7 linked regions of the Cricetulus griseus genome follow. The protein of the gene in region 4 interacts with the protein of the main gene of each other region in a pairwise test. Links are inferred from orthologs where the notes say so. Each region holds a gene or a part of one and is shown on either strand. Other genes may lie near its edges.

Region 1 (4,318 bases), on a different chromosome or scaffold from region 4:
TCCCATCTCTTGCTCCCACCTCTCCTCCCCCTCTCCTCCCCTTCTTCCCCAATCCACTCCTTTGTTTTTGTTCATAAAGGGGCAGGTAGCTCTCTTCCATGGGTATCAACAAATTATCAGCCTGGGGTTCTTAATGACCCTGTCTCAAAAACAAAGACAAACAAAAAACAAGCTAAACCAACTCAACCTCAAAAAACTAAACTGCTTGCAATAAGCACTATTCCTTTCCTTGTAGTAGCATAATAACTGCATTTAATAGTTTAATACAATTGATAGGTAGTCATGGGGGTCGAAAATCTCATTTATCTGATTAATGACCTCATTTTTTAAGCAGACACATCTGTGTTATTCAGCTCCTTACACATGGAGAAAAAAATAAATAATTGTCCACTGATTTATTAATAATTTGAGCAAACACTTATTTTTATTTTTCCAAGACAGGGTTTCACTGTGTAGTGCTGGAACTCACTATGTATATCAGGCTGGCCTCGAACTCATAGAGATCTAACCACCTGGCTCTACCTCCTGAATGCTGGGATTAAAGGGGTGTGCCACCACCACCTGCCTAAACACTTCCTTAATTGCTTTCATTTTTTATTATTCAGAAGGTATTTTGTGCCCAAATTCTGAACCCCCAAATCACCAAGCGACCCATTCTGATGCAAAAGCAAAGAGTCTTTTATTGCTTAATGAGCTAACCCCATTAACTCGGGCTCTTCATCCATTCATTGAGGTGGGTGGCTGGAGAAGGACCGGGAGAAGCTGCAAGTCAGGAAATTCATTGGGTAGAGCATGGGGAGTATCCAGGATTGGTGCGCTTCTGGGCTTGGATGACCTGTTCTGTGTTGATTGGTCAACTGGTTGTTATGGCCTATATGCCCTCCCAGGGTGGTTGCTATGCTCTGCATGTCACTGTTGTGCACTTGTACTGTAAAGCACACCCAGAGCCATAAAGCACAGCCCTGTCAGCTAACTTTTGATTGGTTCCTTGACATGAGGAGGGTATCTGACCTCCTAGTGACTAGGGCAGGAGGGCCAAGGTCAGGCAAGCACATGTTGAGTCATGACTGCTAAAACGGGAGCTGGTCCCTTCAGGTAGACCTTGGAATGGAATATCTAAGCCTCTTGCCACAGCTGCATTTTAATTTGGCTCTCTTGTGAGGACAGTACAGTACTAGTTGTGGGGAGAGTTAATTGTCTATCACATTTCCAGCTCTTTATAGAAATAGAGATGTCATTCAGTGTCTCTAGTTTGTTCACAACATAGGACTGTGTGCAGTCTGCTGAACTATTTTCTTGGCTTGTTCCCCTCCCCCCCCAGTGCAAAGATGGCAAAAAACCAAACCAAAACAATCATTATAGACTTCAATAGTGTATTTTCTTTCTTTTTTCTTTGTGTTCTTTTTTTTTATTTTTTGAGACAGGGTTTCTCTGTATTGCTTTTGAGGTTGTCCTGGAACTCGCTCTGTAGACCAGGCTGGCCTCGAACTCACAGAGATCTGCCTGCCTCTGCCTCCCGAGTGCTGGGATTAAAGGCATGTGCCACCAAAATAGTGTATTTTCAACAATAAAAAGTATTGCTTTCCCTAATAAGAAGTGCCAGTGTAGCACTTTTATATTTCAATATCTCCAAAAGTGTAGTGAATTTATATAGCTGTGTTAAATACTCCTTTAAAAACTTATTTAGTCATTCATTTATTGTGTGTGTGTGTGTGTGTGTGTGTGTGTGTGTGTGTGAGAGAGAGAGAGAGAGAGAGAGAGAGAGAGAGAGAGAGAGAGAGAGAGAGAGAGAGAGCATGCACAGTGGTGGGAGGGAGGTAAAAGGACAACTTTTGGGAGTCGTGTACTCTGGGCTAGCTTGCTCAAGACTTTTAAGCAATTCTCCTGTTCCAAATCTCCCATTGAAGGGACTATACCCTCTCACCCAGCCCCCCTGCTTTAGCAGCCATGACAGGCTACAGAAAATACCCAGCAAGATGTCTGACTCAGCAACATGTGCTGAGCTTCCTGACCTTGCCTGACCTTGTAGTCACTAGGAAGCCAGATATCTCCATGTGGCAAGGAACCAATCAGAAGTTAGCTGGTGGGCTCTGGATGTACTTTAGTTAATAATGGCTTATAGAGCATAGTACTGCCCTCGGATGGCCTATAGGCCACAGCAACCAGTTTACCAATCAACACAGGACAGGTCATCCAAGCCTGGAAGTGCACCAATCCTGAGACCGTTGCAGTCCCCAGACACTCCTCTTGCTGCACCCCAATAAATTCCCCGCCCCTTGGTCCCTCTGGGCCCTTCTTGATCCACCAGATGTGTCGGATGGATGGAGGAAACAAGTTAATACAGTTAACTTGTTAAATTATTAAAGACTCTTTGCATTTGCACTGGATCAGGTTTCTTGGTGATTTTGGGGTTCAGAATTTGGACATAACATTATCTTACCATAAGGATGCTGGGAAATGAGCTGGACAGAGTACTTACTGGTTGGGAGTACATACTACGCTTCTCTTGGACCTGAGTTCAGTTCCTAGCACCCACATAGGGCAGCACTCATATAAATAATAAACCAAACTTGAAGAAGTGCTGAGGTTATAGACACCACTGCACTAAAAAAAAAAAAAAAAAAAAAACCAAACCCACCTGTTTTTAATGTTGGCTCTGAGAATTGAACTTGAGGCATCAGGCTTATTCATCTGAGTTATCTTCTGGCCCTTGTTTTTCTCTTAAATCAGAATAATAAATTATGTTTCTTGTTAATGAGATATATAATGTAATTTATCTTGTACTTATATTTTATTTACAGTGTTTATTCTGTATGGTTATGGGAAGGTGACTATTTTACTGCTAAATTTTCTTAGAATGTCAGTTCAATTAATTTGTTTTCTTTCTTAAAGGCATCAGCTATAAATTCAAAGAGTTTGAAAACGTAGAAGAGGGCCAGACACTGGTGATTGGTGGAAAAGAAATAGAGATCCTGGGTTCGGTCTCTCCTGATGACTTCAACAGTGGCAAGTGTTTTCAGCATGGAAGTGGAAGTCCTGTGGTCCCAAGTTCTCAGGCAGCCAGGAAATGCTTTTCTAACCCTTTCAAAAGTGTCCATCAGTCAAGCCAGTCAAAGGAAAATAGACGGGATGATTGGCAAAACTGCAAACCACGCTATGACCCTTGCACACCAAGTAAGGTTTTAAAGATAAGTTGAACCTTCTGTTTCCATTGTCCAAAGATTTTTTGACATGTGAATTGACATTAAATTTTGTTTTTTAAATTTGCAAATGGTTAAATCAGGCCTGGGTTGCATAGTGAGTTGAAAGCCAGTAAGCCAGTGTGGATTATATATTGATACTTGTATCAAAACTAAAAACTAAATAAAATGAAAAAAATTTCAGGTGAGGGACTGGAAAGGTGGATTAGTGGAGAGCCCCCCCCCCCAATCAAGACCTGAATTTGATCCATGGGACCCACATACAAAATTAAAATAATGTTTTTGAGCTGGTGCATAACTTAGCACTCAGGAGGCAGAGGTAGGTGGATCTCTGTGAGTTCAATGCCAGCCTGGACTACAGAGTGAGTTCCAGGATAGCTAGGGTGGTTATACAGAGAAACCCTGTCTTGGGGGCAGAGGTTGAAAATTGTAGGTGAAGATTATATTCAGATATACCCTTTGACATAAAGAATAATGCTGAAATCAAATACCTTTGGGAGTTATTTAACATTTGTAATCCCAGTGATATGTTGGTCTTGGCATTTGTCGTGGCTCTGTAGGGATTTCCAGGTTCTCATGGAGCAGGGGCATGGCTGCAACAGGAACAGTTTATTGGTAAATAGTACACTTCCAAGGAGGAGGAGAAGTTTAGAAGCCCTATGGCAAATGCTGCACAAAGGACCAATGTTTTTATATTCAAGTGTCACAGGCTTTTTGGCCCATTTGCATACTTTGAGCTTCCTCAGGAATGCATTTTATTGCATGTAGTTTTCACTGAGCCAAAGGTTATCCTCTCAGTTCTGGCGTTCTTTGCCAGTGGGTCCTGCCAGTTCTTGTTGATTTGTGCCTGGGGATTCCACCCTTCTTTTTTGCCAGGAGGCTTACCTCACATGCTAATTTTGTAGCTTTGGATAAGTCCTCCTGACCTCACTCTCTACCCTGGCCATTCTAGCTCCTCCCTGAGCGCTTTTTGGGGAACTGAAGTTTAATGATACAACTTATAACCACTTCTTGCTGTTGAGGAAGGAATGTAGTTCCTTCCTGTGAGAGACCACAGAATTCTCTCTATTCATCATCTGATTGGAGAAGAGGACCCATACTCCTGTGGTAGGGATTGG
Region 2 (4,318 bases), on a different chromosome or scaffold from region 4:
GACCATTAATGTTGATGGATATTAATGACCATTGATTATTGTTCATTCTTATTTGTTTTTGATTTGGTGATGGTGATGAGATTATGTGTGGGATTCTGTCCCTTTTTCTTTTGGCTATTGGTAAGTTGGGATTATCTATTGCCTATGTTTTTCTGGTTATAGGTAACTTCCTTGGGTTGCAGTTTTCCTTCCAGTACTTTCTGTAGGGCTGGATTGGTGGATATGTATTGTTTGAATCTGATTTGTCATGGAATATCTTGTTTTCTCCATCTATAATGATTGAAATCTTTGCTGGGTATAGTAGTCTGGGTTGGCATCCATGGTCTTTTAGTGTAGGTATAATATCAATCCAGACCTTCTGGCTTTCAGAGTTTCCAAGGAAAAGTCAGGTGTGATTCTGATAGGTTTGCCTTTATAGGTTACTTGGCCTTTTTCCTTTGCTGCTCTTAATATTTTCTCTTTGTTATGTATGTTTGGTGTTTTGATTATTATGTGGGTGTAGCAAGAGTTTCTTGCTCTCCTGGTGGGTGTGGGACCAAGGTTCTCTTCTGGTAGATGCAAACAGATCCAATACTCTGATGTCGGTCCTCTTTCTCGTGGATGGAGGTGTCACTGTTACCCGGGCATCGGCAATGTTCAGGTGTGCTGGGTCCCGCCGGGGCTGGCAGTTGGAGGCAGAGCTGTCACCAGGCCTCGGTGTGCTGGATCCCGCCCCTGAACTGGGTCCAGCATGCCGGTTGCTTGTGTCAGATGACTCTGAGCAGCAACAACGACCTGGAAACAGTTCCTGGCCTACCTGGGCTGGCGGATGGAGGCAGGGCTGCCTCTGGGTGTTCAGTGTTTGGATCCCGGCACTGAACTCGGTCCGGCACACAGGTCGCTTGTGTCAGATGACTCTGAGCAGTGACGATGATCCAGTAGCCAGTATTTTAAAATGCAGTAAAAATACAGCAAATTTATCAAAATGGGGCTCTAGTTCAGACATGAGAGGGACAGAGCTTTGAAAACTGGAGAATAATGTAACTTTCTCTTTACTGGATATACCCAAGATTATAAATTCATGCCTATATTAAGTAGAAAAGATATATATCTGTATTAAAAGAAAAAATTAGTTGCCTATAATTTCCATACATGTTCCAAAATATTAATTTGATGTATAGAAATGCTCCTGCTACAAGCCAAAATATTAGGTTATAAACATTATATATGACTGTAGACTAGCAAGGTCATAATAATCTGTCACCTCTTTCAAATATCATGTCATTGAAGGATGCAGTTTATACAGTGTATGATCCAGATACTTGCTCTTCAAATTCATTTCCAAGATTACATAAGTGACTGCCAGAAATTTGTAAGGAAAATCCTTATCTAACTGAGCTTGGCGGATGTTTTCATGTTGGGAGTGTGTTCCTCAGATACATATGGAATGTTGATCATAGGATTAATTATTGCTCCTCTAGAAAGTGTCCATTGGTCTCGTCTCTTCCAGGGAGCTATCATTTAAGAAAGGAGATACTGTCTACATCCTCAGGAAAATCGACCAGAACTGGTATGAGGGGGAGCACTACGGCAGAGTGGGCATCTTTCCAATCTCATACGTAGAGGTACGTCCTTTCTCCTCATCTCCAGAAGGATGCTGTTCCAAAGGTTATCACAAGTTTCAGAACCAACTGAAACTGTTCTCCATTATAGAAACTAACACCTCCAGAAAAAGCACAGCCTGCCAGACCACCACCCCCAGTCCAGCCTGGAGAGATTGGCGAAGCCATAGCCAAATACAACTTCAATGCAGACACAAACGTGGAACTCTCCCTGCGAAAGGTAACCTAGATGTGTTCTTCACTGGGGTGTTTTCACAGACTGTACAATTCTGAACCCAAGTTAGATAAGCTTATTTTTTAGAACATCCTTCCACCTGTTACCTTCTGGGTTTGCTCTTTAACAACATCTTGCTAACTCTCTTCTGGCCCTTTTGTAGTTTTGAAAAAGAGAGTTAAATAAAGTTATCTGGCATTGGCCTGTCTGCTGCAGGAAGCATAATAGTGATTAGAAATGCCTACTATTGCAAAAATCCAACATTTCTATTCAAATGGCCAGAATGGCATAGCCACTCACCAATTAAAATGGATGCTGGTGTTAGCCTGTCCTGGTGAGACAAGGGGATGTTAGCCCACTCCACAGCTATGGAAATTCTAGGTTACCATCTTTGCCTCATGCTTTTTATTCACTCTTTGTCACTTGTCAGGACATGCAAATTAAAGAAGGAAAATGGTATGTCATTCCACTTCATGCCTTCCAGAGGATGGCTTCCATGATCCATTTCAGAGACATTTTCTTCTCCCTATGGATCATCACACTGATTCTGGTAGACGAGTCTACTGTCATTGAGATGGCATCTCTCACACCATCTGCCTTTTGAAATAACTTCCAAAGATCATTTTACTTTGTACCAGTATGAAACATGTATAATCCCATTCCCATTAACCAAGCATCCTTAGGCCTCTAATGTCACAAATGAAAGGTTTAACATGCATTCATACTGACAAACTATGTGTCTCTACTTATAACATACTTCCCAATGCTCGTTACAGGGTGATAGAATTATTCTTCTTAAAAGAGTTGATCAAAACTGGTATGAAGGTAAAATCCCGGGAAGCAACAGGCAAGGCATCTTCCCTGTCTCCTATGTAGAAGTCATCAAGAAGAACACAAAAGGTGCTGACGATTACCCTGACCCTCCTCTACCCCACAGCTACTCTAGTGATAGAATTCACAGCCTAAGTTCCAATAAGGTAAGCAATCATTCTATCATGTTAACTCTGAATTTGGGATCTCGGGATATCATAATCAGTGGGTGATTTGGGGGACCATCAGACCATCATATCATTGAAAAGAAACAAACTCATATATTATGTTCATATATGTGAGTTCCAGATCAGAAAATGTAAGTTAATTTTCCTTTCTTAGATGCTGGGATAAAGGCTTAGTGTTCATTTTTGCTAATTCGGTTCTCAAGTTTAAGTGCATGAAGAGAAAGGAAATGTTAGTATCATCAGCATTTCTTGATACATCTCTGTATTTTTGTGTATATACATTACCCAGGCACACATACATACATTTACCCCTAAACTGTGTATCATTATGTAATTATTAGGTGTACAATAGTCTATGAAAGTCTGAGGGCATTTTCTACATAGCGTAAGACATTTTTAATTTAGGGCCTATAATTTTGCATGAAATTATGATAGATTATTATAAATAGTTACAGTTCTTTTTCATTAGTTTTAGGGCCATGAATTCCATTAATTCACTTAAGCTGACAGCTGAAGATGATTGATTATCTTCCTCAATACAATTTAGAAAAGGTCTTTCCTTCCTGAATTGGTTCATTAGATTAAAGCTATCCTCCTACTTCCCTTAATCACAAAAAAAACGTTTTTCCTCATTTTTCTGTTGAATTATAAGCTATTTTAGGGGTATATGTAGGGGTTTCTTTCGCCTTTACAGTGATTAAAATATAAAAAATCACCAGTGAATTATTTCCAAAATATTGTCAAATGCCTCCCAATGTGAAAAAAGGATGGATTGGGTTGTATAATACATTAACTGTTTTAGTTGAGATCAAGGCAAGGATGTGTAAAAACAGATTATTAACATTGTGAAAGGGTGAAGTCAAGGTCATCTTCAGCCAGTGTCTCCAGGACCTAAGCCACTCTGTGTAGTAAATAAATAACCTATGAATATATCTCAGTTGAGATATTTTCCTCCTTTAAAAAGTCTTAGTATTTGATATTATTCATTCTAATCCTTTTCGAAAAATGGGTTCTAATCATGGGTAATTAATTACCCTAAAGTGTCTATCACTGGATAACTGATAGCAGTTTGAACCAGTTTGATCATAAAGGTTCTAGAATTTAACATTCAGAGATCAACATCCTCCCTTCAGTAGTTTCTACTGATAATGGGGGGAAAAGAATCTTCATCCATCTGCATGTTTTACCCACCATCCATCTATCATAAAAGAACCATCAGATGACTCTTGAGTGACTGAACTTTTAAATAAACTGATTCAGAAGAGAACATCATGCATCTACAAATGCTTTCTTAGCACTGAAGAACTTCTCCCATATGCTGTAATTAACAATGGCAAGCAAATATTTTAAGTCAGCGTTTGTGGTCTTTGCTCTGAATCTGTTTTAAATGCCATTCATGTTTTGTTATTGTTGTTGTAATACCACATTTTGAATCAAGGAATGTACAAATACCAAATTTTAATAGAAGAATGTATTAGTTACACTAGTAACTAATTGTCTTCATC
Region 3 (4,318 bases), on a different chromosome or scaffold from region 4:
ATGCATATGGCAATAAATCAAAGAGACAAAAAACAACTCTACTTTTTCAGAAACTGCTGCAAGATTGTGGTAAGAATACTTTGGATTGATTTATTTTACTTGCTTCATTCTGTTTTTCAGTTTTTAAATTATAAACTACTTTTTCAAATTACAATTAATAATAGAAAAACTTTATCATAGCAGCTAACTTTCCTGAGAAACCAAGAACTGCTCCCCTGGGGTCAATTGGAGAAGGAAGATTCATCAAAAAAGGTATTTTATCCCTATTAAATACTGTTATTCCACTTTGTAGGAATAAGTGCTTTTTAAATATTTTTATTTCCTACAAATTTTCTCATGCTTTCAATATTGAATTGAGCTGGTCTCCGTGCCTCTGAATATTGGGTTGGAAACTAATTATATTTATTGTTCAAGAAATTACATTTGTTCATACACTAGTCTCTGAGTTAGGGCTTCTATTGCTGTGAAGAGACACCATGGTAACAGCAACTCTAATAAAGGAAAACCTTTCATTGGGGCTGGCTTACAGTTTCAGAAGTCTAGTCCATTATCTTCATTTTGTGTGCAGGGAGACATAGTGCTGGAGAAAGAGCTACATCTTGATCCACAGGCAGCAGAAGCAACTGGGTGTCACACTGGGTGTAGCTTGAGCATATTAGACTTCACAGCCCACTCCCACAGTGACACACTTCTCCAACAAGGCCATACCCACTCCAACAAAGCCACACCTCTTAATACCTCTCACTATGAGCCAAGTATTCAAAATGTATGAGTCTATGGGGCCATACCTATTCAAACCACCACAACTAGTAATTTTACTAATTGCACTGTATCATGGAAGAAATGATGTGGATATAGTAGGCACTTGTTTATAATAAGTTTCACTTGAACATAACTGCATTCCTTTGTTACATAATGTCTCTTGTTGCCTTTTTAATAGTGCTGCAGTAGGACTTCATGCATGCTGACCATGACACAGTCCATGCCAGACCTAGACTCCCTTTTTTTTTTCTTCTACTGCAACAACAGAGCTGAATAATTCCAGTGGAGGCTGCTCACCCCACGAATCTTAAAACTATCTGGCCTTTGATAGAAGATATTTTATGAGCCCCTGACAAATTTTCCATCTCCTTTCCTTAAATTTATCCTGGTTATCCTGGTTTAACCTGGTTTATCCTGGTTCACATAGTACTTGTGTAATATGTCAATAAATAAGTTTTTATGATAGGGAATTTTATAGTAGTTTAGGGTCATATCTTAGTCTTAGTAACTGTATTTTTCAGTTTTTTCTAATGAATGTCTTCTCCATCTCTCCATTTTCTCCTGAAAGTAGAGACTATAACATGATGTAGGCCGTTGGATACCTATTTCCTGAAATTCCAATATTTATCTTCTATGTTTTAAAATGCACCTATATGACTCAAGAAGCTGTATTTTCATATTTAACTAGAAGAAAATTACATATACCAAGATAACTTTTAAAAATCATTTTCATGTGTTTATAAAGCAATTTACATGTTATGAATTTAGTTTTGATTTCATGTAATAATTTCTGTGCTTTAATTTTTTTTTATTTGAAATGTATCAGTTCCCTGGAAATTTTTTAGTGTGTTTTTATAATCTCAATTCAGAAATAATGCTTTACATTTATTTGTTCATCTTAATTTATAAAATACATTTTTCTTCTATAGAATCAAACTTGTTTTCTCATGGTACACCTATGCCAGAAATGCCCAGGCCTTCAGGAGTTTCAAGTCAAACTGAACCCTACTATTCTTCATCTGTGCCCATCTCAAGTGGATTGCCACATCACCCACCAGCCATAGCCTCAGTGGTCTCTCCACCTTCAAGCTGGTCATCAGTGAGCCACCCCACCTCACACTCAGCCAATACAAACACATTGAGTAGTTTCTCAACAGGAACACTTCCCTCTAATTCACAAAGTATCCTTCCGTTCCTAGAAGGGTCTAGTGTGAGTGATTTAAGTGCTTCTAATGCTTGCCTTTATACTGATGACCTAGCTAGAATGGAAGCGTTATCCATGTCACCAGCTGACTTATATGGTATTTCTGATGTCAACATGCTATCTAATCGCCCTGTGAATGTGATGACAACCAGCAATGATAACATGGGGGACACTGATAATCCAAGACTTATGAGCATCAATCTTGAAAATGCCTCATGTAATTCAAGGTTAGACCAAAGAGACCTGAGACAACTACATCAGATGTCTTCTGCCAATATGTCAGCAGGCACCAGTTCTAATTCTGTTTTTGTTGCACAGTCAGATGCATTTGATAGATCAAACTTCAATTGTGTAGAAAATGGCCTGATAAATGAGCCTGGACCATCAAATGATGCAAATAGTCATAATTTTGTTCCGAGCAGTCAATATTCAAGTATTGACACTCTGCAAAGTGAGCAATTGAGTGATTCCTTTGCATATGGTTTTCTTTAAATGTAACCTGTAGGATTTAAATCTAAAAAAAAACTATTAAAACTTTAGGTGTATAGAATATAAAGGGAACATTCAAAATTAGAAACTTAAAGAGCTGTACTGTTTTTTACTTTGAGAGATGCCTAAAGTACATGTGCTTGGTGTGAACTGTTCTTTCAAGTTTCCTCAAGACAAGCTGTGTGTCTTTTGTAATGTATTAATGTACTAGTTAAATGAATTGATATTTGCTTTCAAGCAGATTTAAGGTAAAACATGTAATGGCTATGCCATTGTGAAATAAACTCATTATTGTTGAGGCCCATAGGCCAAAGTGACCCCTATGGGGTTTTTGGGGGCTTCTTGGTATTTTTAGGTAGGTGTGTGTGTGTGTGTGTGTGTGTGTGTGTGTGTGTGAGAGAGAGAGAGAGAGAGAGAAGAGAGAGAGAGAGAGAGAGAGAGAGAGAGAGAGAGAGATTTCAAGGGATGGAAGGTTTTTTTTTTCTATTTTCTATTATTTAGACTCATACTTCTAAAGTTACTTAAGAAATTAGTTGTATATCTGTATTTTCAAGAAAAAGATATTTTCTTGAGCCTTTCTGTATTAGATTCCCTTAATATTACAAGTTCAAGGTCTGCCTGGGCTACATAGTCAGTTCAATACCAGCTTTCAGTTTATGAAAATCTTGTCTCTAAGATAAAAAAGGCTAAGGTTGTGACTCAGTGGTAGACTTTGCTTAATGTTTCCAAGACCTTATGTTCAACCCCCTGTAGAAGGAAAAAGAAAAAATAACAAGATTTAAGTTTTAGGTCAATATGTTGAAGCCTGAGTTTTGAACTTATCCCCTAGACTTGCTTGTCCTTCAGTCTCACCAGCCCTGGAAATTGTCATGCCGTGCTTCTAGCTGCTTAGGTAAAAACCTTGATGTCGCCCTTGATTCATCTCCTAAATCTGTCAATACATCAGCAAATCTAGAAGATCTTTCCTCAATATTTATTTGAAGTTAACCACCTCTTTTGAACTCTTGGTTGAGACAGGGTTTCACATCTCTCAAGTTGGCTTCAAACCTGCTATGTAGTCAAAGATGGCCTTGACCTTCAGATTCTCCTGCTTCTGCCTTAGAAGTGCTAGGATTACAAATGTGCACCACCACACCAAGTTTATGTAGTTTCTGGGGTATCAGTGATAGGGCTTTGCTTAGAGAAGTGCCTACCAATTGAGCTCCATGTCCAGATCAGACTAATTGTAGTAATTTTGTATTAGTTGGCACTGATAAACTCAGACACAACAGTTTTCCTCTAAGTTGAACTAAGGTACATCTACATCTGTGTTTAGCATATTTTCAAATGGTGATTTATTTTTGGGTACTGTTTACTGATCACAGAACTCATTTTATAACTTAAAATGTGTTCAGCCATGTTTTCCCCCTTTCTCCCTAATTGCATTTGTATTTCACTTGGTTTTGAGGGAATGGGCCTTCCTACCCAAACTCCACCTTGTGCACTACATCTTTCCTCCATTGCCAGTGTCCTTATGTCCCTACTTAGTTCATGATTTCATTGTGTAAACAGAACAAATATCTTTTTGGGATTAAAAGGAAAGGGTGAAAACATCCCACAAAGTAACAAACCCTACCCATACCATGCCCCTTCTTTTCACTCCTTAACTTTAAAGCACTGTGCCTCTGTCCTGTCACCTCTGTGTCCCTCCTTCCCTTGTCCATCTCTTGGTTTAGTTCCCATCCCTTGTCAAGTCCCAGGTCTTTTTGATCAGTGTTCCTCTACATGTCTTCCCTGTCCACAATCTGTTATCAGTTGACTAAGTGTGTCTGTGATGGACAGGGTCCTCTTGCTTCCTAACCCAGATCTCTAGGGCTGTGTGTA
Region 4 (4,801 bases):
GTGGCACTGGTCCCCTCAAATGATACTCTTATGAGGATGGCAAGGCCAGTAATGCTTCTGAAGTGGTAGAGACTTGGAGGAGCTGTCTTGTACAGAAGGCAATTTGTAAATGGTAGAGACAGGACTTCTAGCTTTGACTTCTTTGTATTCAGCCTCATATGCTGCTTCTCCAAAACACCTTCCCCTCTGGGCAGCTAACAGAACAGGAGGATCTCTGCACTACACTCCTCCTCCTCCACCCTACCCCACCCCACCCCCAGTTAGCCCTTCAAAAGCCCCTCCTCTCCAGACAACCTTCCATGGTGTCGCAGTGCCTAAGAGACCAAGCCCAGTCAGTGTGGCAACCAGAGTCTTTACCTCTTTACCAAGAAGAACCCAATGGGGTATAATTTACACTACTTCAAAGATACACAAAAAGCTCACAATTGGTGAGGACAAGGAGAGCAGAGCATATCCTAGGGAGGCACAGCACAAGAAAATGAACATATTCAGGCGTTCACTAAATAGGCAAAGGGATATGGAGGCACTTGACCTGCCATCTTTTCTCTTGCATTACAGACTTACCAGTTGGCTCTTAGAATTATCTAGCATATAGTAAGTAGTCAAATATGAAAGAAAATAGGAATGTATAAATAAATGAGTGAATGAGGCATGGTGAGAGCAAGGTGTATATAAGTCAAGCCTTGTCTCCTCCCCCTCCGCCCTGTGTTGAGGTCTTGCTATTATATCCCAGCCTAACCTCAAACTCTTGGGCTCAAGTAATCCTTCTATCTCAGTCTCCCGAGCAGTTAGTACACAAACATATGCAACACCACAACACTGCATTCAGCTTCCTCCTTCCTCTTAACTGTCTCTTCCTGGTCCACTTCTAGGTCATTGTTTGGGTCTTAATAAATGAAAACTCAGCTCCCTGTTACATCCAATCTCCTCTCCCATTTATATAAGATTATGGACTTTGGACCATTGAAATGGCTCACCATGTAAAAATGCTTGCCACTAAACCCAACAACCTCAGTTCAATCCTGAACCCCACATGATGGAAACAAGTCCTGTTAGCTGTCCTCTGACCTCCATGTGCATGGCAAGCAAGAATGCACGCGCGCACACACACACACACACACACACACACACACACACACACACACACAAATGAAAAATATGGAATTTACAGCCTAAAGAATTTTTAAAGGCAATCTTATGCTTCAGATCACTAAAGAAAGCAACATCATACATGCCTGAGACCACAGTACCTCAGAAGTTTAGCAACAACAGACACCAAGTTTGTACTCTTATCCCAGTGCCAAACTACCTATGGAATTGTTTTTCTTTTTTTTTTTTAATAATTTATTTATTCTTATTTTATGTGCATTGGTGTTTTGGCTGCATGTATGTCTGTGTGACAGCAATCAGATCACCTGGAACTGGAATTACAGACAGTTGTGAGCTCCCATGTGGGTGCTGGGAATTGAACCCAGGTCCTCTGGAAAAGCAGTGAGTGCCCTAAACCCCTAAGCCACCTCTCCAGCTAGGAATTCTGTTTCTTAATGTGGGCATGTTTCAGCAAGATCTCTAACACCCTGTTGTCACCTCTGGACATGCTACACTCCTTTTTTTCACCAAACCCTTCATTTATTTGTTAGGCCCCAATTTAAGTACCCTTTCAGTCAAGCCCCTTTCAATTAAGTACCCTTTCAATCATGCTCAAGAAAGAAGGGAATTCTTTACCGGGCATTGGTGGCACATGCCTTTAATCCCAGAACTTGGGAGGCAGAGGCAGGCGGATCTCTGTGAATTCGAGACCATCCTGGCCTACAAGAACTAGTTCCAGGACAGCCTCCAAAAGCCACAGAGAAACCCTGTCTCGAAAAACCAAAAAAAAAAAAAAAAAAAAAAAGGGAATTCTTTGTGCGCTCTCAGATCCTTAGTACTTCTCATATCACGGCATGTTAAAACTATTGTTTAGTGGGTGTAACATATCCTTCATTTGACAGTGAATATCATTCAGGTGAGACGGCATGCCCTCAACAGAAAACAGCTCATTGGATGAAAGGAGGCTGTCACTACTCTTCATTCACTGAAGTGAACCCCACTCATAAACTCTCTCTCTAGCAACAACGAAATAACCTCCTTTCAGGCTCATGACAGTCCTTGGTAGGGGAAAGCAGCATGGCCTGAACGCGCACTTAGAGAAGGCTTCAGAGAACGCCGGGGCTGTAGCGCTGCACTAGGACAGAGGGCTTGCAAACCCTCAAGGAAAGTGTGTGGAGGTGGAAGGCTTAAGGCCTGCCCGTTCTGTGCCAAGTCTTATGCTGGAGGCACAAGGCGGTCAGGCCATTCTTTGCCTTCCACTAACCTCAACCAGTCTGCTCTGTGACCTTCGAAGTCCTGACTTAAAGCCTAGATTTTCCTTTCTGAAATCAAAGAAGCCACCTGCGCGCCTTTAATCCCAGCACAGAGGCAGAGGCAGGAGGATCTCTGAGTTCGAGGCCAGTCTGGTCTACAGAGCGAGTTCCAAGACCTGGACTACACAGAGACACCCTGTCTCGAAAAACAAACAAAGAAAAAGAAAATTTAGAAAAGCCACAAGAGCCAAATATCTCGCTGTGCCCTCTAAGGTCATCCCCGCACTGGTTTGGTTTGGGTATCATTTTCCCACATGAAACAACTCCATTGCTCTAAATATCATGGGCCTGAACCCTGCCTTAGTCACCCTCCCATTGCACCACAGAAATCCTCCACCAGGTGAGCCAGGGTTTGGCTCCTGACCAAAGGTAACATATGTCCGGGCCTCACCTGTTGGTGGTACATAGGCCCTGGCCGGAGGCCGCGGGGTTGGCCTTGGCCACATTGAGCCGGTGGGGTCACTGGAAGGCCGGTTCAAGAGGCCGCGCCCCCGGTCCCTCAGCCGGGGGCAGATCCGCCACATCACGCCCAAGGGCCTGGGTGGACGCATACCTCAAAACAGAGGAGAAGAATAAAGCGAAGACACTGTACGGAAACCTCTCACCACGGGCTCGAATCCCTCAGCCTCCTCTGCACGCCGCCATCTTCCTCATGACACCTACGGCGCGCCGTCGCCACAGCGCGCACTCGGCGCACCTCTCCCCGCCCCCCTCCCCGTCAATCAGCATCACAAGCGTGCTCGCCCCGCCCCCTCCATGCCGCACTACGGAAAAAACTACAAGTCCCAGAGGGCCGTTCGCGCACCACACCACGTGCTCCCTCCGCCTACCAATAAGCGGAAGCGCCGCGCGCGCTTACTCCCGCCTCTCTAGCGCTCCCGCGCCAATCGGAAGCCGCAGTGTGTGTGTGTGTGTTTGTGTGTATGTGTGAATGTGTGTATGTGTGTGAGGGTGTGAATGTGTGTGTGAGTGTGTGAATGTGTGTGTGCAAGTGTGTGTGCGCGCGAGGGCAAGTGGGGAGGAGGACGCAGCTCAGGACAACCCTGCTAGCAGGTCCCGGGGTCCAGGTGGCGACACGAGCCCTTGGTCGGCCGGCAGCGGGCGGGGTGGTTCCCGGAGCCCCTCCCCCGCGCGTGCGCGCCCGGGTCCGCCCTCCCCGCAGCCTCTACTCCCGCGCGGCGGCGGCGGTTCCTTCCCCCTCCCCCCAGCCCTGGCTCCGGGGGACCCCGCGATGCCGGTCCGTACCGAGTGTCCCCCGCCGGCGGGTGCCTCAGCCACATCCGCGGCCTCACTCATCCCGCCGCCGCCCATCAACACCCAGCAGCCCGGCGTGGCCACCAGCCTGCTCTACAGCGGCTCCAAGTTCCGCGGCCACCAGAAGAGCAAGGGGAACTCGTACGACGTAGAGGTGGTGCTGCAGGTGAGCGCCGGGCGGCCAGGCCGGGCCCGAGGGCCTCCTCGCGGCGCTCACGGGCCAGGCCTGCCCTGGGCTCCGCGAGCCCTCAGCCGCGGACCAGGCCCTCGCTGCCGGGGCCTCCTGCACCCGGCGCCTCCCACCGGGACCTACCCAGCTGATGTCACACTCTCGAACCCTAGCCCTAACCCACCCCTAGACCCAGAGCCTGTAGCGGCCAGCCTCAGACAGACCCCAAAGACTGTCCCACACTTGGAGCCTTTGACCCGCCCGCTTGGGATCCGGAAGCACCCCTGTGACTAGCTGTCCTTTAACCTGGGTCGGTTCTTCCCAAGTCCTGTCTTCCTACACCAGCCTGCCCTCCCATCAGTCCCTGTCGTACCCTGAAGAACTCCCCATTGGCTCCCCCAGACTCAGTACCTCCCGGTGGCGACCAGTGTCAGATTCTCCCAAAATGAAGCTTTTCCTCTTACCACCACTCCATCCTGAGAGCCAGGGACCTTGTTCCTTTGGAAAACTCAACCAACCTACGGTCCTCGGGGCGGCGGGGCCGAGTGGACAACCTCCCTCTGTTGGCTGAGACAACCCAAGGCATTCCTTAGCCCTTGGCTCCCCCAAAGATCAGGTACTCACACCCAGGTATCTCCAGTTGCACCATTTACTGTTTAGGACCTTGCCTCCTGAGGCCTTCCAGTACCAAAACCCTACTTCAGTCAGTTCATAGCCCTGTCAACTGTCCCCACTCTAGGCTTCCTGCCCCAGGCTTCTTACTCTACCCTGCTCCGCGGCCACTTCCCATCCCAGGCAGTGCCCCTGGCCTCTCCCCAGACCTCGCACCTTGGTCTAGCTGGTTGCTATTGCTGGCTTCAGTGTTGCTGATTTTTATCTACACAGCTCCAGAGTTTCCTCCCAGCCTCAGATGCCCAAGTACTGGGAAATCTAACCCAGTTTTGTTTTGTGTCCACGTACCTCCCCCTATTTGACC
Region 5 (4,318 bases), on a different chromosome or scaffold from region 4:
TGTTCTTGCAAGAGGCCAAGGTTCAGTTCCCAGCATCCACATAGAGGCTCACAACAGTTTGTAACTCCAGTTCCAGGGAATCTGACATCCTGATCTGGCTTCATCAGGTACCAGGCAAAAATGACGTGCACATACATATATGCAGTCAAAATATTATAGCCACAAAAAAAAGTAATTTTAAAAAACTGGAAAGCATTGCTATATTTCCACACATACAAGACACTTAACAAAGGGGCTAGAAAGATGACTCAAAGATTAAGAGCACTGGCTGCTCTTCCAGAGGTCCTAAGTTCAATTCTCAGTACCCACAAGGTGGCTCAAACCATCTATAGTGGGATCTGACGCCCTCTTCTAGCATAAAGGCATACATTTAGATAGAGCATCATATACATAAAATAAATAAATCTAAAAAAATTAATAAAGACGTCTTAGGCATTCCATGTTCATAGATCTGAAAAATCAATATTGTTCAGGTGTCAGTGTAAGTTCTACCCAAATCCCAATGACATGGAGTGAAAGTACTCTTCAATGGTAGAGTATTTGTATAATATATGCCAAATTACAGATTAGAAAACAAAAAGACAACTTTTGTGGGGAAGAAAAAAATGTTATAGGCCTCAAGGAACACAGCTAAAACAATTTTGAAGAGAACAGAGTCAGAGGACTAACACTTTCTGACATCAAAATATTTTACAAAGCCACAGAAATGAAAAACATGTGGACTGACGCAAAACCAAACAAACCGAGTAAAGTGCCCAAATGTAAACCACCACATATACAACCAAATGATCTGCACCACGGATTCCAAAGATGACTCAACAAAGAAAAAAGATGGTCTTCAAACCTGTAATGAATAAACTGAAGATTGGTGTGTGAAAGAATGAACAGGTACGCTTATTTTACACCACACACAAAAATTAACTCAAAATGAATTAAATGAAAGCACTCCTAACTATAAAGCTAGAAGAATACAAAGAAAAGCTTCAATACCTTGAACCTGACAATAAATACCTGGATATGATACCAAAGCACAGGCAACAAAACCGAAACAGGCTGGCAGTGGTGGCATTCGCCTTTAATCCTAGCACTCAGGAGGCAGAGGCAGGCAGATCTCTGTGAGTTCAAGTCCAGCCTGATCTACAGAGAGAATTTCAGAAACCAGGTCTCGAAACACACACACACACACACACACACACACACACACACACACACACACACACACACACACACACACACACACACACGCGCGCACAGCAAGAACAGGTAAAGAAATTTACATAAAATTTAAGACCTTTCTGCATAATAGGTCATAATCAACATAGTGAAAAAGAAATTTATCAAATGAAGTAAAATATCTAGAAATTAAAAAAAAAAAGCTGAAAAGAGACTGGTAAATACCCATGATTCATAAAGAACTCTTAAACAACAACAAAAAAAGTGAACCAAAATCTTATAGTTACTCAAGACAAACAACAGGAAAGTATACGAAAGAAACATTGTTAACCAAAACAAAATGCAAAATAAGACCACAGTTAAGATAAAATGTCATACAGGTTAAGATGGCCACTATCCAAAATGTGGAGAAATTATAATATTTGTACAACAACAGTAAGATTATGATATGTTAACCATATGTAAAATACCACAGAAATTCCTGATAACATATGTGGCTGAATGCTTGCAAAACATGCACAAAGCTGTGGGTTCCATGCCCAGCATGACAAAAACCTGGTGTGATGACACAAGCCTATAATCCCAGCACTGGAGGTTGAATCATGAGTATCATCATTAGTTCAGTGTCATCCTTAGCTATTATATAGTGAGTTTGAGACCAGCACAGGCTACATACAAACCTTTCTCACAACAAAAAAAAATTTAAAATTTTTAATGGAAAATTTGAAAAAAACTTACTACATGACCCCTAACTTTTATTTCTGGGTATATCACCACAAGAACTGAAAATGGAGGCTTGCAGAGATAGCTAGACAGGAACGGGAGAGATGGCTCCTCGGTTAAGAGCACTGGCCACTCCTTCAGAATGTTTTCCAAAAAGAATCTAAGAAATTTGAGTATTAGCTGGATACCTGACAGTAAAGTATAAAAATATAAAATTACTAAATGTCTTGGGTACAATTCTACTTAAACTGTGAAATAAGAACAGAGATTTAATCTCACTTGTTTCTATTGCCCACTGATGAAAGTTTTTATTGAAATTTTACAACTCATGAGTTCCCTAGTGTCCTCCTTAATTTGATTTACATTTCATGCTACTTGCAATTTGTAGAAAGCATAGGTAAAAACAAGGGCAATACATCACCTTTGTAAAAGTGACTGGGATACTGGCATCCAACTGAATGTGATCTGCAACCTCTGTAAACTGCTGCTGCTGTTTCTGCAGTGTTTCTAATAATCTTGTAATTTCTTGTTTTGCCAAGACAACTCTGCAATCATCCTAGAAAACAAGATGGTATTTCCTATAAAGTTTTCCTCTTAAAAATGGAGACTCCATCAACTTTCAATAAAGACCATGTAATATCACAGTATTAAAAGTAAATTTTAGAAGCTAAGGAGCTACAGATTAGTTTGCAAAAGGCTTGCCTCATGAGCATGAGAACTTTGAATTCAATCCTCAGAACCTATGTAAAAAGCAAGGCACAGTGGTACTTGCTTGTCGTGCTGGAGAGATGTACAGTACATTACATTGGTAAACCCATGTGTTGTTTGAGCTCACTGAGAAGCTGGCTCAGGAACTGGGGTTGCTTCCCTACTTCTGAGCCATGTCTGTTTATGTTAAGTGTCCTCCAAGCCCCTTGTCTGGCACTAACTCTGTGACGAGAAAGGGAACAGCAAAAGAGATCAAGGGTAAAAACATCATATCTTAGATAGGATTCTATTGCTGTGATAAAACAACATAACCAAAAGAAACTTGGAGAGGAAGGATTTATATCAGCTTACAGTTTCACATCACAGTCCATCCCTAAGGGAAGGCATGGCAGGAACTCAAACAGGGCAGGAATCTGGAAGCAAGAACTCATGAAGAGGTCATAGAGGAATGCTGCTTACTGGCTTGTTCTCCATGACTTGCTCAATGTTTTCTTATAGCACCCAGGACCACCAGCCCAGGATGAGCTGGGCCCACCCACATCAATCATTAATCAAAAAAATTCATCACAGGGTGACCCTAAGGCCAATCCAGTGAGGGCATTTCCTCAATTGCCATTCCCTCTTCCAAAATCACTCTAGGCCCTATCAAGTTGATATTAAACTAGCCAGCAAACATCATGTCCTTACAAACAGCAAGAGAACAAACATTCCGAACATGTTACTATTGTTGCTTTATCCCATGATATAAAAGTGCCTACGGTCAGAAAGAAAAGTATGAAGTTCAGCCACAGGAAGCTCATCCATGGAGAGAAAGCTCAATTGGGAACTCTAGCTGGCTGCATTAACTTCTCCAGTTGATTTCTGCTGGACATTGTGAGCACCTGATTTGATGATGTTATTTCTACCTGTGGCTATTTTTTCTTTTACTCAGAAGACTCAATCAAGGCCCTGTTCTGCCTGGAATTCCAGCAAGAACTCTAGCTGGCTGCCTCATGGAGCTTCCCTAGTCAGCTTCTGCTGAGTATTTGTAAGTCCCCAGTTTGACTATGTCATGTTCCTACTGTTACTTGTTTTTTGTGTTTTTCTTTTTTTTTTTTTTCTGAAAATTTCATCTGAGAGGACAATCTGCTCTGCCAGAGACTCTAGCTGGTTGCCTTAGGATTTCTATAGTCAGTAGTTTCTGCTGGATGTTTTGAGCACCCAATTTGATATTTCCCACCCAACCCCCCTGCCCCTCCCAATTTATCTATCTACAGCCATCTATCCATCTATCTACCTATTTGTCATCTATCACTTACTACTTACACTTTTACTTTGGCTTGATATACACTTCACTCATTTTTGAGGCAGGGTCTAAATGTATAGCTTTGGCTAGTCTGAAATTCACATTGTAAACTAGGTCAGCCTTGAACTCACAGAAATCAACCTGACTATGCCTCCCTAGTGCTAGGATAAAGAAGTGCACCACCACACCCAGCTACATACATAGACTTTTTTGTTTGAATTTTCAAATTTTTATTTGCATACATCTACTAATAACTTCACATTTAGAACACTTAGCATCAACATGACCAAGAATTAAATGACAAATATTTGAAGTGGGGAAAATCAAAAAGAAAACTGTATGTACATGAGTGTTTTGCCTACATATTTCTCTATGCACCACATGTGTGCAGTGCCCATGAAAATATAAGAAACCTGTAAGAAGAACCCC
Region 6 (3,411 bases), on a different chromosome or scaffold from region 4:
ACACTGAGCAGAGCTTGAGACGGCCCCTCTCTGGATGGGCTCTGCATTTACATGCTTCTTGCTACCACACACGCAGCCTGTTTTTGCTGCTGGCCTCCCAGGCCAGGAATGTGCTGTCCAAATCCAGGGAGCCCAGGCTTCTGCCCTTCTGCCTGAGCTGACACTAGGGACACAGGACCAACACAACCTGGTGGACCAGTGTAATAATCATTAGTTTTAATTTAATAAACTATTTTCTTACAGGCTCCAGCAAACCTTCACCAATTTACATCAGTTCCTATTCCTCACCAGCAAGAGAACAAAATAGACGGCTACAGGTGAATTTGCAATGTCATTTGTACAGAAGGCTGGTTAGCAGTCACACAGTAAGGGGACCACCGGTGAGAGCTGGGCCTCCTCGATGCAGGGCCAAAGGAGCTTCCCCTGAGGAGCTTTGCCTCTCAGACTGCGTGTGGTTCAGATAAACTGTTTCCATCAGTGCTTCTGAGACTGCATGCCTCTGACGAGGATGCGAGAAACCTCTAGTGCATGCTCTTTGTCCAGTAGTTTCCTTCTCTGACTTTTTTTTGTTTTCCATTAACCTAGAAAGTCTCTTCTATTCTCTGGGTAAGACAAAGTTGGTGAGCAAACCTCGCAGCCTCCTGTTCTCTTTGGACACTTCATCCTCCATCACCATGGCTTCCTTCTCATCCAAGCTCCATGCTTTGAAAACCCTGAGTCTGTAGCCCACTTAAGAGGGTCTTCCCGAGCTAGCCCCTGGAACTGTACTGCCACACACACCCCTTTCAACCACAAAGCTAAGGTTTCCCAGTCAGAACTGCATTGTGTCCTTCCAAATAAGTGTTCTAAGACCCTATCGACACTATAACCTTTAAGTCAAGAGAAATCTAACTCTGCTTTTAAAAGAGGAGATAGTTAGCTAAGTATATTTTTTAACTCTGAAATACCATGATGTTAGAATGAGTTTAAAGTCAGATGCCAATACCTATATGGTAAATTCTTCAATCTTACCAAGATTGTGGGGCAGGGGGCGAATTTGGGCAGCATGCAGACAGACATAAGAGCTGTGATAATTTGAGGGCATCGTGGTGAGGTCAAAGCTAAGACAGCACAAAAGGAAATGGGGTCCGGGTTCCCTGTGTGGATAACATGTGGTACTTCACTTTCTTCAAAGGACCTTATTGGAAGTCTTTGCCTCTACAATGCTATTTGCTCATGTGTCTGCTAATTTTGTTACCTTCCTGCCTTGAGATTGCTCGTCCTCTAATAATAAACTGTACAGCAGAGTTCATCACACTATGTTACGTCTTTTAAAATTAAGCAGTGGATTCACATACAATCCTATAGTTATCTGAATATCTAAAACCAAATCCCCGGCCCTCAGGAATGTCCATGATATGCTTAACTTTCCTGTGCAAAAGCTGCCTCCTCTTTTGGTCCCTAAATAACAGGCTCCTCCACATCCCTTGCCACCTCCCATTGAGGGCCTAAACTCTCCTGAGGCCTCAGGGCAAGACTTGAACAAACAAAGCCAGCTTGCCTATAAACATAATTTAAAATCCTCCCTACTGTGAGTAAACATGGTGTGCACCTGAAATAGCTGCCCCCACCACCACCCTTAGCCCACAAAGAACTGTAAAATGTGAAACTGATGTACAGTGTTCTTTCAATGTGTGTTTTTAAAATGCTCTCCCTTACTCGACTTTCCATTTTGCCAGCAGCACCAACAGCTGTACTATCAAGATGACTCCACCAGGAAGACCTTGGATGCATACAGGTTGTACTTGCAGTCTCCTCGTAGCTATGAAGACCCTTATTTTGATGACCGAGTTCACTTTCCAGCTTCTACTGATTACTCAACACAGTATGGACTGAAATCAACCACAAATTACGTAGACTTTTATTCCACTAAACGACCTTCTTACAGAGCCGAACAGTACCCAGGGTCCCCAGACTCGTGGGTGTAGCATCAAGACGCCTGGCGAGGGACTCTTTCTTGCTAACTTTTGCTTGGATTGAGGTGAAAAGTCCGTCTTGCTGATTTGATGATGAAATGTGGAAAGTGAAATGGAAGGAATGAGTGAAGTGTATTTTTTTTTTTTTTTTTTTTTGAGGAATTTTCAGGGAAGTGAGGAAACCCTTGGGAGAGGACTTTCTAAGCTCTGTGTAGGTGTTAGGTCTAATTACTTGTAGATTCTAGTGGTGAAGGTATGGGTGATGTGATGAGAGGTTTGAGAAATGGGTGAAATGAGATGGGGTATGTGTAGGTCAAATCAAATTACAGATGATTTTTTTAATGTGAATAAAGTTATGTTCAGATAGTTTGTACAGAAAAAAAATAATAAAATGGATGCCCTTCATGTTTTATTGCTATTACTAAATGTCAAGATTGTATGCTATTATGTCTTGTAAAAATTTATTCTGTTGGTGTAAATATGGAAATGCCACATTGGTTAAGTGCCATCATTTGTAATGCAGTGTGTCGTTTGAAAAGAGATTTGAAGAACTGACAGCCTAAAACACAAGTGGGAAGCCCAAGGAACTATTACCAGTTGACAACAAACTCTGACATCCTGTTTTCAGTGAGTAGTGACCCCTGGAAGCACAAAGCTCAGTGTGACAGCAGCGCCATGCTCATCCCGCCTCTTTCACAGGACACTTCACTGCCATTTTCTATGCACATGGAAGAATAATAAATGTGGAAATTTCATCCTTGAAATGTGGTCTGGTCCTCTTTTTCTGGGTGTGATATGGAAAACAGATTAAGTCTGTTTATGAGGTGGGCCACACTGGGCAGTGAAGATGTGGCTGCTACCTTACTGCCCCTTAGTCTATGTATTTCTTGGAGTTTTTGTTTGTTTTAATTTTATCTCCAGTTTTAGTGGGTTCTGCTTTGTTCCAACCTTCTAGATGTATTTAACATCTCTTTTCACCGAAGGGTATTTACATCTGGCATCCTGGCCATACTACATTGGTAAGGACCACTTACAGCATCATTTTTTTGGAACTAAATCATTACATATGGAGAGTTGGGCATTTGCTTGCTTGGCATCAATGTTAGAAGCCAACACTGATTCTAAATAATTATTGTGCTCAGTACTTGTTGGATTATAGACAGCATTTTGAGGTCTATAGGCATGTCCCAATGTTACTCTGCAGCATGCAGCATTGTGACTATAGAGAGACCCAAGAAACAGTACTTTCCTGGGTTGAAAACAGCCCGAGGTTAGGATTCAAAGTAAAATAGGTCCAATGTAGGCAGGAAAGTAGCTGAATCCTACAAATGGTGAGCCTTTTTGAGCTCACCATTTGCAAAGACCACCTAAGATGGCTGACAGGTCATGCTCTCTGCCACATGTGCCCTGGCAGGACAGAGAAAACAGCTTTCTATATGACAAGTCACTGGATGTT
Region 7 (4,318 bases), on a different chromosome or scaffold from region 4:
TTTGGCACAGCATCTCAGCTCAAGCAGCTCCTTCCTTCTCCACAGATTGACCTTGCCATTGATGGTGCTGATGAAGTGGATGCCGAGCTCAATCTCATTAAGGGCGGTGGGTGAGTGTTGTGGGACTCGGTTGCTAAAAGACTCTCAGCTAATCCTTAACAAGGCAGAAATGGAGGACAGTAAACAGTTGTCCTGGATACCTATGAGTTTGTCTTCTTATCAGTACAAGATACCGTATGCCTCTGAGCAAGCCTGGAATTTCTGATTATTCTTGGGTTAGATGGTTAGGTCTGTGGCTTTTGTGTTAAAACTCTGGAGTCTGTGATCATTTGGGGAACTCTTCCTTTATTTGGAAACATCAGAATGATCATGTTTTATGTTATCCTGGCTACAGGTGTGAAGTAATTACCTAGGGAGCAATAGAGACAGGCCAGACAATTCAGGGTCTGAGCTATGTGCTGTCACATAGTCCACAGGGCAGTCTTTTCAGGACATGTTCAGAGATGTCTCCCCAACACAGTGCCTCTCAGACATATCTCAGAAGGGATGTGCTTGGCCTGAATGGAACCATTGTCCAATTCCTAGGTTTCTACCAGACACAAGCTAATGTATTTGTATTCCATTTACTAGAAAGCAGCACGATAGGATTGAGGGTGGCTCTTTAAAACAGAAGTCAAATTTCTCTAAGTGAGCATGTTTGGGATTCCTGTGTCTGACCTTAGTCCCCAAATTAAGATGATCTCACTCTAATGTCCACTTTCTTCTTTTCCTGTTAGAGGCTGCCTGACCCAGGAGAAGATTGTGGCTGGTTATGCCAGTCGCTTCATTGTGATCGCGGATTTCAGGTACCGTTCCAGGGCTCTGTGCTGCAGCTGAGAAGGATTATGGGTTTCCAAGTCTCATCCCCTGTACAGAGAAAAGCTTGTAGCGGAATGCAGGAAGGACTGCCTGCCTGTTCTCTAGGAGTCCAGGCAGAGACTCCTGCTAATTATCCCAGCACTCAGGTTTGGGGATGGGGAGGAAACAGTGTCACCCTGTGGGCAGAGCGAGTCTGCATGTGTCACTCATTATGTTTTCAGAGGGAGCCTCAGGAAGCAGGCCAGCCCTTCCACAGGCAGTGAGTGACTCAGCTCGTCCTCCTCCTCTGGGGTCAGGCTAAGCCACACGTGACTGTGCTGTCTGTGCTCAGTCTTTCTGGGCTGTTTTTTTTTTTTTTTTTCCCCCAAGTCGCCTGAGGGGTGCTATGCTGAGCATGCTAGAAGAGATACCAGCATATGTATTTACTCAAGAAATACCATAGCTGCAAGGAAAAACCTAGGTTAGTCAACAAGCCAGCAGGGCAGGTTTTAACATTTTTGCCACATTGTCCAAGTTTCTCTTTAGTGTAAAGCAGCCCATACTTCTGAAGCCCCCTGTACTGTTCCTGATTCCTTTCCCCTCCAGCTGTCTAGTTAGCCTCTTGCCTGAATTTGGTTGCACGTTGAACTTACTTAATTTGATTGGCATTCTTTCCAGGAAAGATTCAAAGAACCTTGGAGATCGGTGGCACAAGGGGATCCCTATTGAGGTCATCCCAATGGCTTATGTCCCAGTAAGCCGAGCTGTGACCCAGAAGTTTGGGGGCGAGGTAGAACTTCGAATGGCTGTCAACAAGGCAGTAAGTGGCCAGGGAGGTTTCCGAGCACCCTGGCTCAGTGTGTTCCTGTCCTCCTTTCTGTGGCAGTTAGATTCCTGAAACGTAAGAGTGTGTGTGTGTGTGTGTGTGTGTGTGTGTGTGTGTGTGTGTTTCTGTCAGTCTGTCTGTCTGTCTTCTGGAAGCTCTTTGGGGCAGAAAGTTCTTTTAGGTTACCTGGTGTGATATTTTCCTCTCTCCTCTCAGCTTTTTTGTGGCTATACCTGTAAGAGTACAACTCTCATCTCAAAGAGCATAAGTGATGGTCTGGGAATACAGATCTAGGTTACCCCAAATTCTGCATTCCAGTGTTCCAGTGAGATAACAGTTTTTTTTTTTTTTTTTTTTTTTTTGGTTTTTCGAGACAGGGTTTCTCTGTGTAGCTTTGGAGAGTCTATCCTGGCACTCGCTCTGGAGACCAGGCTGGCCTCAAACTCACAGAGATCTGCCTGCCTCTGCCTCCCGAGTGCTGGGATTAAAGGTGTGTGCCACCAATGTGGTAACAGTTTTAAGTTTGTACAGAGATAAAACAAAGAAGATCACAAAATGACACTTTTCAAATACATTGGAAACACCAGGTAGGCAGGTCACAGTAAAATGGGGAAATCTTAGCTCTGGGCCTCAGCACTATCTGGTAGTATCCTTTTTTTGTTTTGTTTTATTTTGTTTTTTGAGACAGAGTTTCTCTGTGTAGCCCTGGCTGTTCTGGAACTCTGTAGACCAGACTGGCCTCAAATTCTCAGAGCTCCACCTGCCTCTGCCTCCTGAGCACTGGGATTTAAGGCTTGTACCACTACCACTCTGACTCTGGTAGCATTCTTATTGTCTACATTTCAAAGGTTTTTTTTGCCTTTCAAAAGGTGTAGATGCTCAAGATAATTGTCTCTGGAGGAGTAACAGTCTAGACTCCATACACCCAGCCATTGAAGTTCCAGCTGGTTAATGTCCTGCAGAAGCCTGGAGGAAGATGCTGATCTTTCCAGGAACTTTTTGCTCAAGGCAGCACCACTCCCTTCCTTTTTTTCTTTTTCAGTGTTAGGAATTAGGCCCAGGGCTTTTTGAAATACCAGGCAAGTACTCCCCCACTGAGCTATATGCCCTGCCTTCTCCTTCTACCCTAAATGTATCAGTAAGTAGACTTTCTTGGGGGAGGGGAACACACAGCACCCCAGTGGGGTTGTTTCTCATCAGTTTATAGCTGTGGCCTGGAAATAATTTTTTCTTTTGCATTTAAATACACAACCAAAAGTAATGAACCAAACTGAAATGTATGTAGCTATGAGAAAAAATTGGGAAATAGAGAAAAAGAAATGATCATGCTTTCTTGACTTTCTTCAAAAGGAGAACTGGTTATACTGTGCCTTCGCCGAGGCCTCAGCCCTCTCCCCTTGATTTTTGTTTGTTTGAGGAGAGGGGCCGTACATAGTTCAGGCTTCTTTGAACTTGCTATATAGTTGGAGTTGACTTTGAACTTCTGATCTCCTTGCTTCTACCTAACCAAGTGCTGGGATTATAGACATAAGCCACCACACCTCGTTTACCTTTGTATAGTTTTAACTGGACTCCACTCCAGGCTGCAGAGGAGTCTTGCCTATGCTTAATGTTATGTTTTTGAAGAAAAAGAGAAAAAGAGGCAGATGAGACGTGTTAACCAGTTTATTATTAGGGCCAGGAGAGTAGGAGACTAAAGAGAGAAGAGGAACAGGCCATAGCCAGTCCCATAGAGAGGCAGAGAGGGCGCATAGGTGAGAGGGAGGGAATAAGAAAGAGTAGAGTAGAGTAGCAGGGAAGTTGGAACTTTTAAAGGGAAGACTGCGCTTGCGCGCTGAGCTTCCACTCATGCACAGAGTCCTCACACATGCGTGGTGGGTGATGTGATGATGACATAGCACGTTTTCTTGTGCGTGCTGACTGTTGTCAGGGGGTGGGGTCTGTCTCTTTATTGCCGATGAGCATTAAAGCCTGAACCTTTCACTTATGTTTGTCAATATTTTTTATTGTTAAACAATCCTATTCTTTAGTGTCCAATCGTGTTGAGGACTTCTGGATTTGTAGCTAAAACTTTCCATCCCCATACCTGTTTGACTGTCTGTCTCTCTCCCCCCCCCCCTTTTTAATTTTTTTTTTTTTTTTTTGAGACAGGGTTTCTGTGTAGCCCCAGCTATCCTGGAACTCACTCTGTAGAGCAGACTGACTTCAGACTCCTATCCAACTACCTCTGCCTCCTGAGGGCTGGGATTACAGGCATATGTCACCACTGCCCAGATGCCCTGTCCTCCCCCCCCCCCCCCCCGAGACAGGGTTTCTCTGGCTTTGGAGCCTATCCTGGCACTTGCTCTGAGACCAGGCTGGCCTCGAACTCTCAGAGATCTGCCTGCCTCTGCTTCCCGAGTGCTGGGATTAAAGGCGTGCACCACCACCGCCCGGCTGCCCTGTCCTTTTAATGAGACATTGATGGGGAGGGTGTGATGTGTGAAGTCAGTACAACCTTATTTTGTATTATTGATGGTGCTTATGCTAAACTTTGAGATGTAGTTATGTTGGAGGTTTTCACTCTGTAAGCTAAAAATTTCTCTCTGTGAGCCCTCCTGTTTGCATCTCTGTCCCCCTTTTTGCCGCTCGAGAAACAAGGTTCAGAGAAGCCAA

Evidence for each region.
Region 1: the proteins of Atpaf2 (region 4) and Rad54b interact in a two-hybrid assay, tested with the Homo sapiens proteins (2 studies listed by BioGRID). The two-hybrid records come from large-scale screens. The link is inferred for Cricetulus griseus from reciprocal best matches to the Homo sapiens genes ATPAF2 and RAD54B.
Region 2: the proteins of Atpaf2 (region 4) and Sorbs2 interact in binary tests that used the Homo sapiens proteins (3 or more experiments, as listed by UniProt). The two-hybrid records come from large-scale screens. The link is inferred for Cricetulus griseus from reciprocal best matches to the Homo sapiens genes ATPAF2 and SORBS2.
Region 3: the proteins of Atpaf2 (region 4) and Rel interact in binary tests that used the Homo sapiens proteins (3 or more experiments, as listed by UniProt). The two-hybrid records come from large-scale screens. The link is inferred for Cricetulus griseus from reciprocal best matches to the Homo sapiens genes ATPAF2 and REL.
Region 5: the proteins of Atpaf2 (region 4) and Trim23 interact in binary tests that used the Homo sapiens proteins (3 or more experiments, as listed by UniProt). The two-hybrid records come from large-scale screens. The link is inferred for Cricetulus griseus from reciprocal best matches to the Homo sapiens genes ATPAF2 and TRIM23.
Region 6: the proteins of Atpaf2 (region 4) and Pkp4 interact in binary tests that used the Homo sapiens proteins (3 or more experiments, as listed by UniProt). The two-hybrid records come from large-scale screens. The link is inferred for Cricetulus griseus from reciprocal best matches to the Homo sapiens genes ATPAF2 and PKP4.
Region 7: the proteins of Atpaf2 (region 4) and Rpia interact in binary tests that used the Homo sapiens proteins (3 or more experiments, as listed by UniProt). The two-hybrid records come from large-scale screens. The link is inferred for Cricetulus griseus from reciprocal best matches to the Homo sapiens genes ATPAF2 and RPIA.

What each region holds. Positions count from the first base shown.
Region 1 is NC_048595.1:125,715,965-125,720,282, forward strand, and holds part of Rad54b (DNA repair and recombination protein RAD54B), read left to right. Parts: intron 1-2,892; coding exon 2,893-3,174; intron 3,175-4,318. UniProt on the Homo sapiens protein: Involved in DNA repair and mitotic recombination. May play an active role in recombination processes in concert with other members of the RAD52 epistasis group.
Region 2 is NW_023276807.1:40,730,765-40,735,082, reverse strand, and holds part of Sorbs2 (sorbin and SH3 domain-containing protein 2), read left to right. Parts: intron 1-1,489; coding exon 1,490-1,604; intron 1,605-1,692; coding exon 1,693-1,821; intron 1,822-2,591; coding exon 2,592-2,792; intron 2,793-4,318. UniProt on the Homo sapiens protein: Adapter protein that plays a role in the assembling of signaling complexes, being a link between ABL kinases and actin cytoskeleton. Can form complex with ABL1 and CBL, thus promoting ubiquitination and degradation of ABL1.
Region 3 is NW_023276807.1:83,034,107-83,038,424, forward strand, and holds part of Rel (proto-oncogene c-Rel), read left to right. Parts: coding exon 1-69; intron 70-180; coding exon 181-252; intron 253-1,691; coding exon 1,692-2,458; 3' UTR 2,459-4,318. UniProt on the Homo sapiens protein: Proto-oncogene that may play a role in differentiation and lymphopoiesis.
Region 4 is NC_048600.1:74,539,890-74,544,690, forward strand, and holds the start of Atpaf2 (ATP synthase mitochondrial F1 complex assembly factor 2), read right to left. Parts: upstream 3,078-4,801; 5' UTR 2,954-3,077; coding exon 2,794-2,953; intron 1-2,793. Other genes in the region: Gid4 (glucose-induced degradation protein 4 homolog), read left to right, coding at 3,634-3,822. UniProt on the Homo sapiens protein: Plays a role in the assembly of the F1 component of the mitochondrial ATP synthase (ATPase).
Region 5 is NC_048595.1:322,464,254-322,468,571, reverse strand, and holds part of Trim23 (E3 ubiquitin-protein ligase TRIM23), read right to left. Parts: intron 2,453-4,318; coding exon 2,318-2,452; intron 1-2,317.
Region 6 is NC_048599.1:115,554,617-115,558,027, reverse strand, and holds the end of Pkp4 (plakophilin-4), read left to right. Parts: intron 1-243; coding exon 244-317; intron 318-1,718; coding exon 1,719-1,967; 3' UTR 1,968-2,719; downstream 2,720-3,411. UniProt on the Homo sapiens protein: Plays a role as a regulator of Rho activity during cytokinesis. May play a role in junctional plaques.
Region 7 is NC_048601.1:62,413,797-62,418,114, reverse strand, and holds part of Rpia (ribose-5-phosphate isomerase), read left to right. Parts: intron 1-45; coding exon 46-110; intron 111-776; coding exon 777-845; intron 846-1,515; coding exon 1,516-1,657; intron 1,658-4,318. UniProt on the Homo sapiens protein: Catalyzes the reversible conversion of ribose-5-phosphate to ribulose 5-phosphate and participates in the first step of the non-oxidative branch of the pentose phosphate pathway.